Linked DNA regions of Arabidopsis thaliana. The protein of the gene in region 1 binds, or shares a complex with, the protein of each later gene. Each region holds a gene or a part of one and is shown in the gene's direction. Other genes may lie near its edges. The genes, in order: KINESIN-13A and RAC10.

Evidence for each region.
Region 2: KINESIN-13A (region 1) and RAC10 share a complex: the UniProt entries of both Arabidopsis thaliana proteins name them as parts of the active ARAC10-IRC5-KIN13A complex.

What each region holds. Positions count from the first base shown.
Region 1 is NC_003074.8:5,661,889-5,670,080, reverse strand, and holds KINESIN-13A (P-loop containing nucleoside triphosphate hydrolases superfamily protein), read left to right. Parts: upstream 1-2,129; 5' UTR 2,130-2,513; intron 2,514-2,584; 5' UTR 2,585-2,666; intron 2,667-2,765; 5' UTR 2,766-2,819; coding exon 2,820-3,008; intron 3,009-3,454; coding exon 3,455-3,676; intron 3,677-4,075; coding exon 4,076-4,255; intron 4,256-4,366; coding exon 4,367-4,468; intron 4,469-4,619; coding exon 4,620-4,697; intron 4,698-4,941; coding exon 4,942-5,023; intron 5,024-5,159; coding exon 5,160-5,322; intron 5,323-5,569; coding exon 5,570-5,899; intron 5,900-6,091; coding exon 6,092-6,310; intron 6,311-6,400; coding exon 6,401-6,971; intron 6,972-7,082; coding exon 7,083-7,148; intron 7,149-7,238; coding exon 7,239-7,421; 3' UTR 7,422-7,706; downstream 7,707-8,192. Other genes in the region: TCTP (translationally controlled tumor protein), read left to right, coding at 1-161, 255-372. UniProt on the Arabidopsis thaliana protein: Internal motor kinesin involved in trichome morphogenesis. Participates in regulating the formation of Golgi-associated vesicles.
Region 2 is NC_003076.8:25,235,170-25,239,813, forward strand, and holds RAC10 (RAC-like 10), read left to right. Parts: upstream 1-1,793; 5' UTR 1,794-2,066; coding exon 2,067-2,171; intron 2,172-2,631; coding exon 2,632-2,719; intron 2,720-2,863; coding exon 2,864-2,973; intron 2,974-3,081; coding exon 3,082-3,145; intron 3,146-3,235; coding exon 3,236-3,300; intron 3,301-3,393; coding exon 3,394-3,459; coding exon of another isoform or gene 3,460-3,530; coding exon 3,531-3,643; intron 3,644-3,733; coding exon 3,734-3,770; 3' UTR 3,771-4,093; downstream 4,094-4,644. UniProt on the Arabidopsis thaliana protein: Involved in local disassembly of cortical microtubules when associated with ICR5 and KIN13A.

The sequences.
Region 1 (8,192 bases):
CAGGAGCAACCAACTTATGACAAGAAGGGATTCATCGCTTACATTAAGAAATACATTAAGCTTTTGACACCCAAGCTCAGCGAAGAAGATCAAGCTGTCTTCAAGAAGGGTATTGAGGGAGCTACCAAGTTTTTGCTCCCCAGGCTCAGTGACTTCCAATTGTAAGTTACCCCAATCTATCGTATCTTGCTTGTTATACATGACATATATTTCATCTGAAATCTCATCAATGCTTGTGTTGTCTGATTTTACAGCTTTGTTGGGGAGGGTATGCATGATGACAGCACTTTGGTCTTTGCTTACTACAAGGAGGGTTCAACTAACCCAACATTTTTGTACTTCGCTCATGGTTTGAAGGAGGTCAAGTGCTGAGAGAGAAGCTCTCGTTGGGTTACTGTGGTCGGTCGCAGCGACTCTCTAAGTTTATGTTTCTTTATATTGTCCTGTGTTTCGTCGTCGTCCCCTATTAAAATTACCTGCCAGTTTACTTTTCTCTCTTCTTGTTTTCTGTGTTGGAAGATTCTCAAGTTATTTATTCCGCAAAAAACGGTTTATCATTTACAATTAGTTGAATTTTGGTCGTTACTTTTTGTGTTATTTGGTGTGATATCTCTTCAGCTTTGCTTTTCTAAATTAAACTCCCGAATCTCGAGGCATGTTTATAGTAGATGTCTAATAATTTTGGATTCAGATCTTATGGACGTGAATAAACGAGTGGGTTACTCTAACTGTTAGTAACTTTAAATCATGGAATATGCTGTAGAATGATTCTTTTGACTTTAGTCTAATGGTGTTTTATCCCTTTAAAAAGAAAAAGTTTCGTACAGACATGATGTCTTGAGACATCATCATAGGCATGTTCTGCTCCTTATCAAGGATTTCTATCTCACGTGCGGAATCGATACTAACTAGAGTTCTGTCATCTTGGTTTTAGTTGTGAGACAAATCACAATGTGGCCGTAATAATAATGTATTATGTGTATTCTTTTACTTTGACAAACAACACAACCTATCCTATGCTTTACTATTCTTTTAGTTTGTTGGTTTTATTATTCGAACTATTTATTTATGTATGTGTGGTGTCCGTATGGATGAGAGGGCAACCAAAATGCGTTGGTACGTATTTGTGTCTCACGTAAAAGGAAACGTGATTTGGTCTTGGTCGGTTTGACGTTGCTCCAACTCTCTTGTATCTTATGTATTTATCGTCATTATTTCTTCAAACTTTGTTGTTCCTTTCGTTTTAGGCTTTTAGCCTACACTATTTAAACATTTCTTATGTAACAAGTAGTATCAACTTCTATCTATATGACTATATTGACGTAGCCATACAAAGGAGGTAGATCATCTAAACTTACACAAAACTAGAGAGACCAATGTTTTTAGGAAGGATAAATAAAGGAAAAGCTCCTTTCATACTGGTTTATATAGTGATTACTTAAAATCAGGAATCCTTTAGATCGGAATGCTTTAGGCTAAAGCAAAAGCTTTTTGATTCAAAAGAAAGGAACCCACAAGCTGTATTAGCCCCACTTCGCTACTTTTGCATATTCTCGTTCGTATATTTTATTGGATTAACACTTTTTTTTGGGGTTTAAACAGTACACATACATACACAAGATTGGTACTTTTGATATACACTCACTTATATTCGCACATCTAAACAATTCAAAATTTGAAACCGTATAAAAATTTAAACAAACATAAGAATATATAAGATTAGATCATTGTCATGTACTAAAATTCCAAAAGTTGTGGATTTCATGTCGAGAAAAACTCATGTCATCTTCCTCGGACAATTTCAAATTTCATCTCTATTACCATAGATGGTCCAAAACAACATCCTTAAATACCATAAAGTAGCTAAAATCTGAAAATGCACATAACTGATCAACCCACCAAGGTTATATTATTAGTTATACTACATATATAATAAACCAATCAATGTTTATGCAATCTGCTCAAAAAGGTATGAGATTCATACCGTATGATTCAAGATGAGAACATCAATTCTATTTTTATGTCACCATGTTGGTATATGTCCTTGTGTCACGATCTCAGCAAAAAAATAATATTTCAACACTATCTTTTAGAATATATAAGACCGTTCAAAGAAGATTGTTTCAAATGTTTTGGACTAGACTGTACAATCTTAAAAAGTAGGACAAATCGGTGAATATTTCTGAAGTTAAAGGGTGATCTAACTGTCACTTTTTTAAAAAACTTTTAAACACCTCAAACTTTTTAATTTATTGTGTAAGTGTCTTATACTTTGTCAAATCTTCTTCAACGCCCCTCTCTTTCTCATCTCTCTGCGCCTAACGTCGCTTACGGAAGAAGACGAAAATTTTGAACAGAAGCTCTCTCTCTCTATCTCTCTATCTCTCTATCTCTAACGCTATTCGATGTGCGTAAATTAGGGTTCTTCACTCGTCGGATCTGATTGTATATTGTGAAAATCTCAGATCTCAGATCTCTTATCTAACACCGTTGCGTGTCTTCGTTTCCTTCTGGTAATCATTACTTTGGATAACATCGATCTTCTTCTCCGATTATTGGATGCAATTTATTGATTGAATTTCAGATTTTGAAGGAGGTGAAGCAAAGTCGGGAGCTGTACATTTCCGCTTTCATGTTCTGTGTTGAATCCGAATTCTCTCCACATTGTGAGTTTCTCTTCGATTTGAATCTAACATTCTATTGTTGAAATTAGGAATTTTTTGATTTGTAACAAATGGGTGATTCTGGTTTTTGTATGGATGAAGAGTTGTTTTTACAGATCTCCGAAGTTGGCTCCTCAAAGAAGATCACAGCGCCTCATGGGCGGCCAAATGCAGCAAAACAATGCTGCGGCTGCGACGGCGCTTTACGATGGGGCTTTACCCACTAATGACGCAGGAGATGCAGTCATGGCACGGTGGCTTCAATCCGCTGGTTTGCAGCATTTGGCGTCTCCTGTTGCTTCTACAGGCAATGATCAGCGTCACCTCCCAAACCTTCTCATGCAGGTAATTGCTTTCCCTGATTCTTTGTTTCTGTACTCTTCCAATATTTTGCATGCCCTTTAGTTTTCTTGATGGAGTTTGCCCTAGCTTGGTAAAGTATGCAAATTTTGTATTAGACGCAGATAGCCAAGTTTTGTTAGAGTTTTCGGTCGCTAATTCCTGCGCACATTTGGTGTTAGACTACTAAAAACGCTGCAGTAGGAAATTAGGAATGTAGGATTGTTTCTCCCTGTTATGGATATTAGTCATAACGTATCTCAAGGAGAGCTTGGAATTTGTTTGGCCATTTATGTAATGTGATTAAGTTAGATGTTTGCTGCAGGGTTGTTAGTGATTTCTTCTTCGATTGGTAAATTTCTATAGAAACTTTTGCCTTGGCTCTTGTATAATTCGCATGAACGGGTTCTGATATTTGAAGCATCCTTTGTGGTGTTTGCGGTATCTGCTAGGGTTATGGAGCTCAGACTGCTGAAGAGAAACAAAGACTGTTCCAACTAATGAGAAATCTCAATTTTAATGGGGAGTCGACTTCTGAATCATATACACCAACTGCTCACACATCAGCAGCTATGCCCTCTTCGGAAGGATTTTTTTCACCTGAGTTCAGAGGTGATTTTGGAGCAGGATTATTGGATCTTCATGCAATGGATGATACAGAGCTTCTATCTGAGGTATGCTTGGAAGAAGAACTAGTGCAAAGACTTATTCATAGTTACTCATTAGTGCCCATGGATAACAGAAAGATCATAAATTTTCATCATCAGATTGTCTGTTCTTGTGTTACATCCCAGTTTTCAAACTGTTCTTGCCAATCTTACATTGCCATATTGAGTCCCACCTAATCCATTGGCTTTGTGCACATGTAATCTATCTGCGAGACTTCTGTAGGCAACTTCTGATCTTGACACTCGAATGGATTTAGCGAGATGTGACAGTTTTGGTCTTGTTGTCATTAGAAAAGCATCTGAGCTAAATAACTGCTTGTTGCATTTGCTAGTTCATAAAGAAAGCGATTATCCATGTGAAAGTTACCAACTTTTATGATACGTGACTTTCCTTTCATTTTGCAGCATGTGATTACCGAACCCTTTGAGCCGTCACCTTTCATGCCTAGTGTAAATAAAGAATTTGAAGAAGACTATAATTTGGCAGCTAATCGTCAACAGCGGCAACAGACAGAAGCTGAACCTTTGGGTTTATTGCCTAAAAGTGATAAAGAAAATAACAGTGTAGCCAAGATTAAAGTAGTGGTAGGTCATTCACTTGAGAACTGACATGTTTCCTTACTACTTGATTGTTTTATAAGCAACGTTCATTATGACTAGGGATGATTGGGAAACCACTTTTTTTTTTGTCTATAGGTAAGGAAAAGACCCCTAAACAAGAAAGAAACAGCTAAAAAGGAGGAGGATGTCGTGACGGTATCTGATAATTCTTTGACTGTCCATGAGCCCAGAGTGAAGGTTTGTGTGCATTCTTCATCATAGATAACAATGGCAAACATGATTCAGTTGAACAACTGAACGATGGCATCCTGCTATTAAAGGTCATATATTCTTTTCATTTAATATTGTCTTTTCGAATATTGAATGAACCGTAATCTTGTTGGTGCAGGTTGATTTGACTGCTTATGTGGAAAAGCATGAGTTCTGCTTTGATGCTGTTCTAGATGAGGATGTTTCAAATGACGAGGTAAGTTAAGAATTGAGCTTATTGGAAACCATAGAAAATCCTATTAGGTGTCCGTGATGCAACCTTGAGCTTTGGTAGATTTATGATTTATGTCAAGGTCGACATACCTGATTGACCTATTAACTAGATCATAGCATGTGGTTTCCCCCAATCCAGATTGGATTGATGTATGGATACATTAAGCTTTTTATATATACAGAAGCTTTATGCTGCTTTGAACATGTTTGTTTGTTTCCTTGAATAGGTGTATCGGGCCACAATTGAGCCAATAATTCCCATTATTTTCCAGAGAACTAAAGCTACATGCTTTGCATATGGCCAAACAGGTATGCAATGACATTAATGTTCATTGGGAAATACACTGATAGTTATACTCTTGCTAACAGATTCCAGTTTTTAGAGGATAATAGATTAATAGTTTCTTCATGCTTTCATGGCCCTAATGATGTTTTGCTTATTCAGGTAGTGGTAAGACATTTACAATGAAACCATTACCTATACGAGCAGTTGAAGATCTTATGAGGTTGTTGCGTCAACCAGTATACAGCAATCAGAGGTTTAAATTGTGGCTCAGCTATTTTGAGATATATGGTGGAAAGCTGTTCGATCTTCTCAGTGAGAGAAAGTTAGTGTTCTTTCTTTTTCTCATTTCTTATAAATGTCGTCTTTGTTGAGGGGTTTTATGTTTTCCTTTTCTTTTGGCATATACTTTGTTCAGGCATATACTAGCTTATAATTGTTATTTCGATGTCAGTATATCGTAAACATTGGCACTTATTCATCCTATCAGTGTCAATACTTTCCATTGTTGTCTACTACTATCGCAAATGCATGTTTACCATTGTCTAAATCATTCAGTTATTGCCGAGTAGGAAACTTTGCATGCGAGAAGATGGTAGACAGCAAGTTTGCATTGTTGGCCTGCAAGAATATGAAGTTTCAGATGTACAAATTGTAAAGGATTTTATCGAGAAAGGAAATGCCGAAAGGAGCACAGGTTCAACTGGAGCAAATGAGGAATCTTCTAGATCGCATGCCATCCTACAGCTTGTTGTAAAAAAGCATGTTGAGGTAAAAGACACTAGACGGAGGAATAATGATAGTAATGAATTGCCTGGGAAAGTTGTGGGAAAGATTTCTTTCATTGACCTTGCTGGCAGTGAAAGAGGTGCAGACACCACAGACAATGATCGCCAGACAAGGTAAAGATTCTCTTTGCCCCTGTGATTGAGTAGTTTGAGAATTGACCTACCACTAATGTGTAGATTAAAATTTATGCCTCTGTTGGACTTGTGGGCATTGATAAAGTGGCACTTTGCTGCTACCTTTTTACTTTAGGACCACCACACTTCAGATCTAAATGCTTCATTGTTTTCATTGTGGATTTTTCTTAGGATTGAAGGCGCAGAAATCAACAAGAGTCTCTTGGCTCTTAAGGAATGTATACGTGCACTGGACAATGACCAGCTACATATACCATTTCGTGGAAGCAAACTAACGGAAGTGCTCCGTGACTCATTTGTTGGAAACTCAAGAACGGTGATGATTTCCTGCATCTCTCCAAATGCAGGATCGTGTGAACATACCCTCAATACTCTAAGATATGCTGATCGGTATGTTTTGTACAAACTATAGCCTCTTGTGAAACAAATTCTCAATTTCATCGTCTATTAACCTCTGTTGGTTATGTATGGAATAAACAGAGTCAAAAGTCTATCTAAAAGTGGAAATAGCAAGAAAGATCAAACTGCGAATTCAATGCCTCCGGTTAATAAGGATCCTTTGTTGGGCCCAAATGATGTAGAAGATGTCTTTGAGCCTCCACAGGAAGTGAATGTACCAGAAACCAGGAGGAGGGTGGTCGAGAAGGACAGCAACAGCAGTACGTCGGGTATTGACTTCAGACAGCCTACAAATTATCGAGAGGAAAGTGGAATCCCATCATTCTCAATGGACAAGGGAAGATCAGAGCCGAACAGTTCTTTTGCTGGCTCCACTAGTCAGAGAAACAACATTTCTTCATATCCCCAAGAAACTTCAGACCGTGAAGAGAAAGTAAAGAAAGTGTCACCACCTCGTGGGAAAGGGTTGCGGGAAGAAAAACCAGACAGACCACAAAATTGGTCTAAAAGAGATGTCAGTTCGTCGGATATCCCTACCTTGACAAATTTTAGACAGAACGCAAGTGAAACTGCTTCAAGGCAATATGAAACCGCTTCAAGGCAATATGAAACCGACCCTTCGCTTGATGAAAACCTCGATGCACTGCTTGAGGTAAAGTACTCACCTATCCCTTTAAAACATGAGATGAAGCTGTGAATTTGATTTGCAAGTAACGGTAGTTCTGTTTATGTCTTATCGTAACCATCACATGACTTTTTTCAGGAAGAAGAAGCTCTGATTGCAGCGCACAGAAAAGAAATTGAGGATACAATGGAGATTGTTCGCGAGGTATGTAAATCACATCATTGCAGCGCACAAAAAACGATTGTAGAATGTTATCACATCATTCAATTTTCTTTTCTGTTATATCATTATCAGGAAATGAAACTTCTAGCGGAGGTGGACCAACCGGGAAGCATGATAGAAAACTATGTGACGCAACTGAGCTTTGTGTTGTCCCGGAAAGCAGCAGGGCTAGTCAGTCTTCAAGCCAGGCTTGCTCGGTTCCAACACCGTCTCAAGGAACAAGAAATACTGAGCCGTAAGAGAGTTCCTCGGTAGTTGGTAGAAGAAGGAAAACCAAAAGTGTGGTGTTGTTTAAGTGTGAAAGGTTGGTTGGGTGATCTCTTCTTATATATGACAAAGAATGACAGAAATGTCCTTCATGTTTGTGAATTTGGGCATTTCTTTCCTTTTATTTTTGAATCTTTATTATAAAGTTATACCTTTTGTGTTTCTTATTTTTCTCTTCTCCTCTATCCTCCCAGAAAGCTGGATACTGTCAATGTGAATCAAACTCTTTTATCAATCAACTGAAAAAGTATAAAACCATTTATCATCTGAAAATGTTTCAAAATTTGGTGAGCCATATATAAAATCAAATTTCTAACAATTAATAAGATCTTCAAATACCATCTATATAGTGACAACCAATGAAAAGACAGTTGAATAGCTCCAAAAGAACAAATAAAGCAATTCTCTCTTGTCGTAAAGATAAAATGGCCAACAAGATTATGCAGCCCAACTAAAAAGGCCTTGGCCCACACTTTACTATTGATCACGTGACATGCCTTTTTCACGATTGCAATATAAGAGCCATTTTCCACCGTCCGATGTTAAAACCCAAACCGATTTAAACCGTCCATGAAAGTCGCTTATCTCCTTCTCCTTCCCGTCGTAGTCGCACTGTCGCAGGCGAGTAAAAGGCGATTTATACAAATACAAAAAAAGCGCATGAAGTTGTTTTTTTTTCTTTCCAGACTTTTGCCTTCTCTAACCAGGTTAGATTCTCGCCATCACTTTTTCTCCTCAATATCAATAGATTCTTCTTTG
Region 2 (4,644 bases), on another chromosome or scaffold:
TTTACATGTTCTAGAGAGAAAACTGTACCGAAGAATCGATTCACCTTCAGATTCATAAGAATGGTTCAAAATTCATAAGACCAAAAGAAACAGCAAATTAAAGAAAACAATAAAAGAAGGGACCGATAGGAACAAAGAGGGAGAAAACACGTGACCTGGCAAGGGACTTCCATTACGTGGGTCGGCTCGTTTCGGATGTGGCCCATATATTGAGTTGTCGGGCCCGTTGCATTTGTTTGTTGAGTTCATATGATATATTCGAAAAAACTTTTACTTTTTCAATATTAACCCAACTTCAAATCCAATAACCATATTTCTTACTGCCAAAACTCGGATTTGTGATCTTCAAGTCTTTTTCACTTTATGGATAATTTCCACTGTTAATCACGTTTTGCTTTTACGCGCATCAACTGTTGTGGAAATATATATTTATCGTTTGTTCTTGTTTCTTTTCAATGACGCTATCCTTACACCAGCACGACATATGCTCCTGTTACATGTCTTCCTTAGAGACCAAAAGTTATGGATTCACTTGTACACACATACACATATATTGATTTAGTTTAATGTGATTACTAGTCTCCTTTTGCGATTTTCGTTCTTACTAGTCTCTATATTTATCTGGTTTAGGCCATACTTTTGTCATTGTATTGTATTATTAATCAGCTACTTTAATTTGTACTTGTATTTTGGAGCTTTTGGTGGAAATAACTTGCAAAATACTAAAATATTGGACCAGAGAGCGATAAGTTCCCGTGGTCGTCCTTTTGAAGACCTCTCTAGTTAACAATACTTTTGCATTTTCATATTTATGGTGGTTGCGTCGCCGTCGATATAGTCGTAGGTATTACTCCAATAATTAACTTACCTTATAAAATAAAATCATTTATCTTCTGCTTTTGGTAGATGTTCACACAGTTTGGCTCCAACATCCACCTATAAATGATTATTTAAACACATGACAAAAACACTTTTACTTTCTAAACCATGAGTCTGCAATTATATCCATAAACAAACAAAAAGGAACTATTTGGTAAGAGTATTCAATTTTTAATAACTGTATTAAAAGTTGCTTTGTGAATATTGAGAATTTTTATTGCTGGTTGTTGCCAACGAAACTCTTGTTGGCAATTTTAAATATCTTGAGTAAATTAAATTAGATGATAAGTTTTTTTAAAAGTAGGTCCACATAAAAAAATCCATATATCCTAATATAATAAATGAATATCCTAAACTAAAATTACAATTTTAGAATTATCAGTTTTACACTTGTGAATTGTGATATAAGTAATGTTGAAAGGTTGGTCTTAGTGATTTTGCTATAAATTTTTGTTGCTATGATATTCTATTATTTTATATATTTTGTAACCCTAGCTTGTAAGTTATGCTATATACATTATATGATATGTAAGTCTCGAGAGAAAAACAAAAATAGCAAAACATGTATTCGACAGTACATGTTAATGTATACAAATATGGTATATCCATCTTCACTTGTCACTGTGTGGCTCAACGTGACACTATTATTAACTTGACGAATATCTACCTTCTCTTATAATTCGATTCGTAACGCCATACTTGTATGTAATACACATTATTTCATTTTCTTACAATCCAATACAAGTGTAATAAACACTTAAAAAAAAAAAAACAAGATTGAACCACCAAGATTTGGTTAACAAATTCCAATGCAAATTTGCTCGTTGGAGTAATAAATGAACTACAAGAATTTGGAAAAGGAAAGCTTGGACGATGGATCATGTGAGTCATCACCGCTCTTTCTCTATCTTCAAGTTCAAACCAAAAACAAGCCACCAAATACCAATAAACAATTTCGTTTATCTAATTGGAAATATTGAAAAAACAAACAGAAAAAAGTAAAAAAGGAACAGAAAAAAAAGCCATAAATTTATGCAACAAACCCTACCTTCTTCTATGCTCTAAAGAGGGTTTATTTATCTTTTACTCCTCTTTTTAAGTAATCTCACTTCATTTATCTCTCTCTCTCTCTCTATTTCTTTTGCTTCCTTTTGGTATTTGCTTTGTATGTTTGTTTTGAGATCAAAATGGCTTCAAGTGCTTCAAAGTTCATCAAGTGTGTGACTGTTGGTGATGGTGCTGTTGGTAAAACCTGTATGCTCATCTGCTACACCAGCAATAAATTCCCCACTGTAAGTTCTCTTTAAAAAGACCTCTCTTTCTCTCTTGAATTTTGATCAGGAATCTCATCTGGATTTATCAGATTTAGCTCAAATTTTACAAAATTTTAATCAATTTCAGTATCTGGGTCTACTAAATTTCAGCTTCTTATTGCCATAAAGGTTCTTAGAATCTATCTGGGTATGTCAAAGTTAGCTCCTTTTTCCTAGGAACTGTGCATGATATAAGATCCATTTTTGGAGATTTTGATTTTTTTTACTTTTCATAAGTATGTGTGGCGCATCTGGGTTTTTGCAGCTTTTGTGTATAGTCCAGCTTTATGTTATCTTTTTTCATTTAACATCCTCTGGAGTCTGGATTCGTCAGACTTTTTCTTCATTGCTATTATTATTATTATTATATGTATATATGCTTGATTTGATGATTGAAAGTTTGAAACTGTGTATTGATTTGATGAATTGTTTGTAACAGGACTACATACCAACAGTTTTTGACAACTTTAGTGCAAATGTTGTTGTTGAAGGCACCACTGTCAATTTGGGGCTTTGGGACACTGCTGGTATGAACACTCTTTCTGAGTCTTGAATCCTATAGTGGTTTATAACATTCTTATTGGTCTAGTTCTTTCATTTGGTTGATAAATGAGATCCATTGAATAGCTTTGTCTCATATGAGGTTACATATGTATATCCTTTGTTTGCAGGGCAAGAAGACTATAACAGATTAAGGCCTTTAAGTTACAGGGGAGCAGATGTTTTCGTCTTGTCTTTCTCATTAGTCAGCCGAGCTAGCTACGAGAATGTTTTTAAAAAGGTCTGATTGAATAAATGATCCTTTTCTCTAATTGTTGAAAACGATAAGACTCTTATAGTGTCAGAATGAGTCATTTCTAATGTTATATGACTGTTCTTATTGAGTCAGTGGATCCCTGAACTCCAACACTTTGCTCCAGGAGTTCCCCTTGTCCTTGTTGGTACCAAATTAGGTAAGAATAACCGATGAGCATTTACCAACAGATTCCTCTTAACCGTTTAGTTACAATTCATAGCTAATGATTCTTACAACACTGGTGTAGATCTTCGTGAAGATAAGCATTATTTGGCTGATCATCCTGGACTATCCCCTGTAACTACTGCACAGGTTTAGTCTTAAAGAGCCTTTTTACTTTAGATTTCATATAATTCCACTATAAGGCTTGATGGTATTAACTAAATGAACATTTCTATCTGATAGGGAGAGGAGTTGCGTAAGCTAATTGGTGCGACGTATTACATTGAGTGTAGTTCAAAAACTCAACAGGTATATGAGGCAGCTTCTTTATGTTACTCTTTTCTTCGGATTAACAAAGCGATGAAGTTTATATATTGCAGAATGTGAAAGCAGTTTTTGATTCTGCGATAAAGGAAGTGATCAAACCTCTGGTTAAACAAAAGGAGAAGACTAAGAAGAAGAAGAAGCAAAAGTCGAATCACGGCTGTTTATCGTGAGTATATATACAAATCTTTACAAACTCTGCATCTACAATCTTATGAAGGGTACTGATTTCACCTTTGTGTTTATTTTGTATGTGCAGAAATGTTCTGTGTGGGAGGATAGTGACTCGGCATTGATGACGATGACCCAACTCAGTCTGATGATTTTAAACTCCACTTTTGAGATTGTGTGATAAACGAGAGACTTTATATTATATAGATTGAATCATGTAAGAGATTATTAGCCTCTAATCAATCAATAGTTACCTTGAAGAGAGAAAGAGGGGGAGGTAGAGAGCTTATTATTAATTCAATTGTGTTTATTTGTTTCAAACCTGTTATTGCAATATATTAGCCATTTTGATACAACAGAGAAGCTCTCTCTTCCTTCGCTTAACCCTGTGAAGACAAGCAGTTATTGTCCTACATTAGCAATCAAGTAATTTTATTTTGTTTGTTAATGTTGATCTCTTGTCGTTACATTGTCCAGTGTCAGTCAAATCACTGTCCTCAAAGTACAACTGACCAAACTTTGTCTCTCTTGACATAGACATTAAAACTTTCTACATAAGAGTCTCATATTTCAGTAGTCGCAGGCTAATTCCAGTCGGTTCCAATGACACATTGTCTTCAAGATTTTGAGACAGCAGTTCCAAAGGTTTTTTTATCTTCCACCTGACCAAAAAAAGGAGATTAAGCCATAAAAAGATGGAAGCGACGAACTCAGTCGAAGACTTTCCGATGAGACTCGAGTACACGAGAAACGACCACTGGACTCACCAGACCAGTCCCAAAGGCAAATAAATAACGGAGTAAAAAAAAAAAAAAAAACGCCGAGTTTCATCTAAACATAATAGAACAAATGTCAATGGGTCCGAGAGAGCCTGTAAGAGCATAAATGGGCTTTAATCGGGCCAAATTAAATGTAACTCTTTCTGTTGTTGTTTTTCCGGTGTACCTCTCTCTGTTTTTTTTTTAGCTCTTTTTGGAAAAAGCAACTTTTTCTTGATTT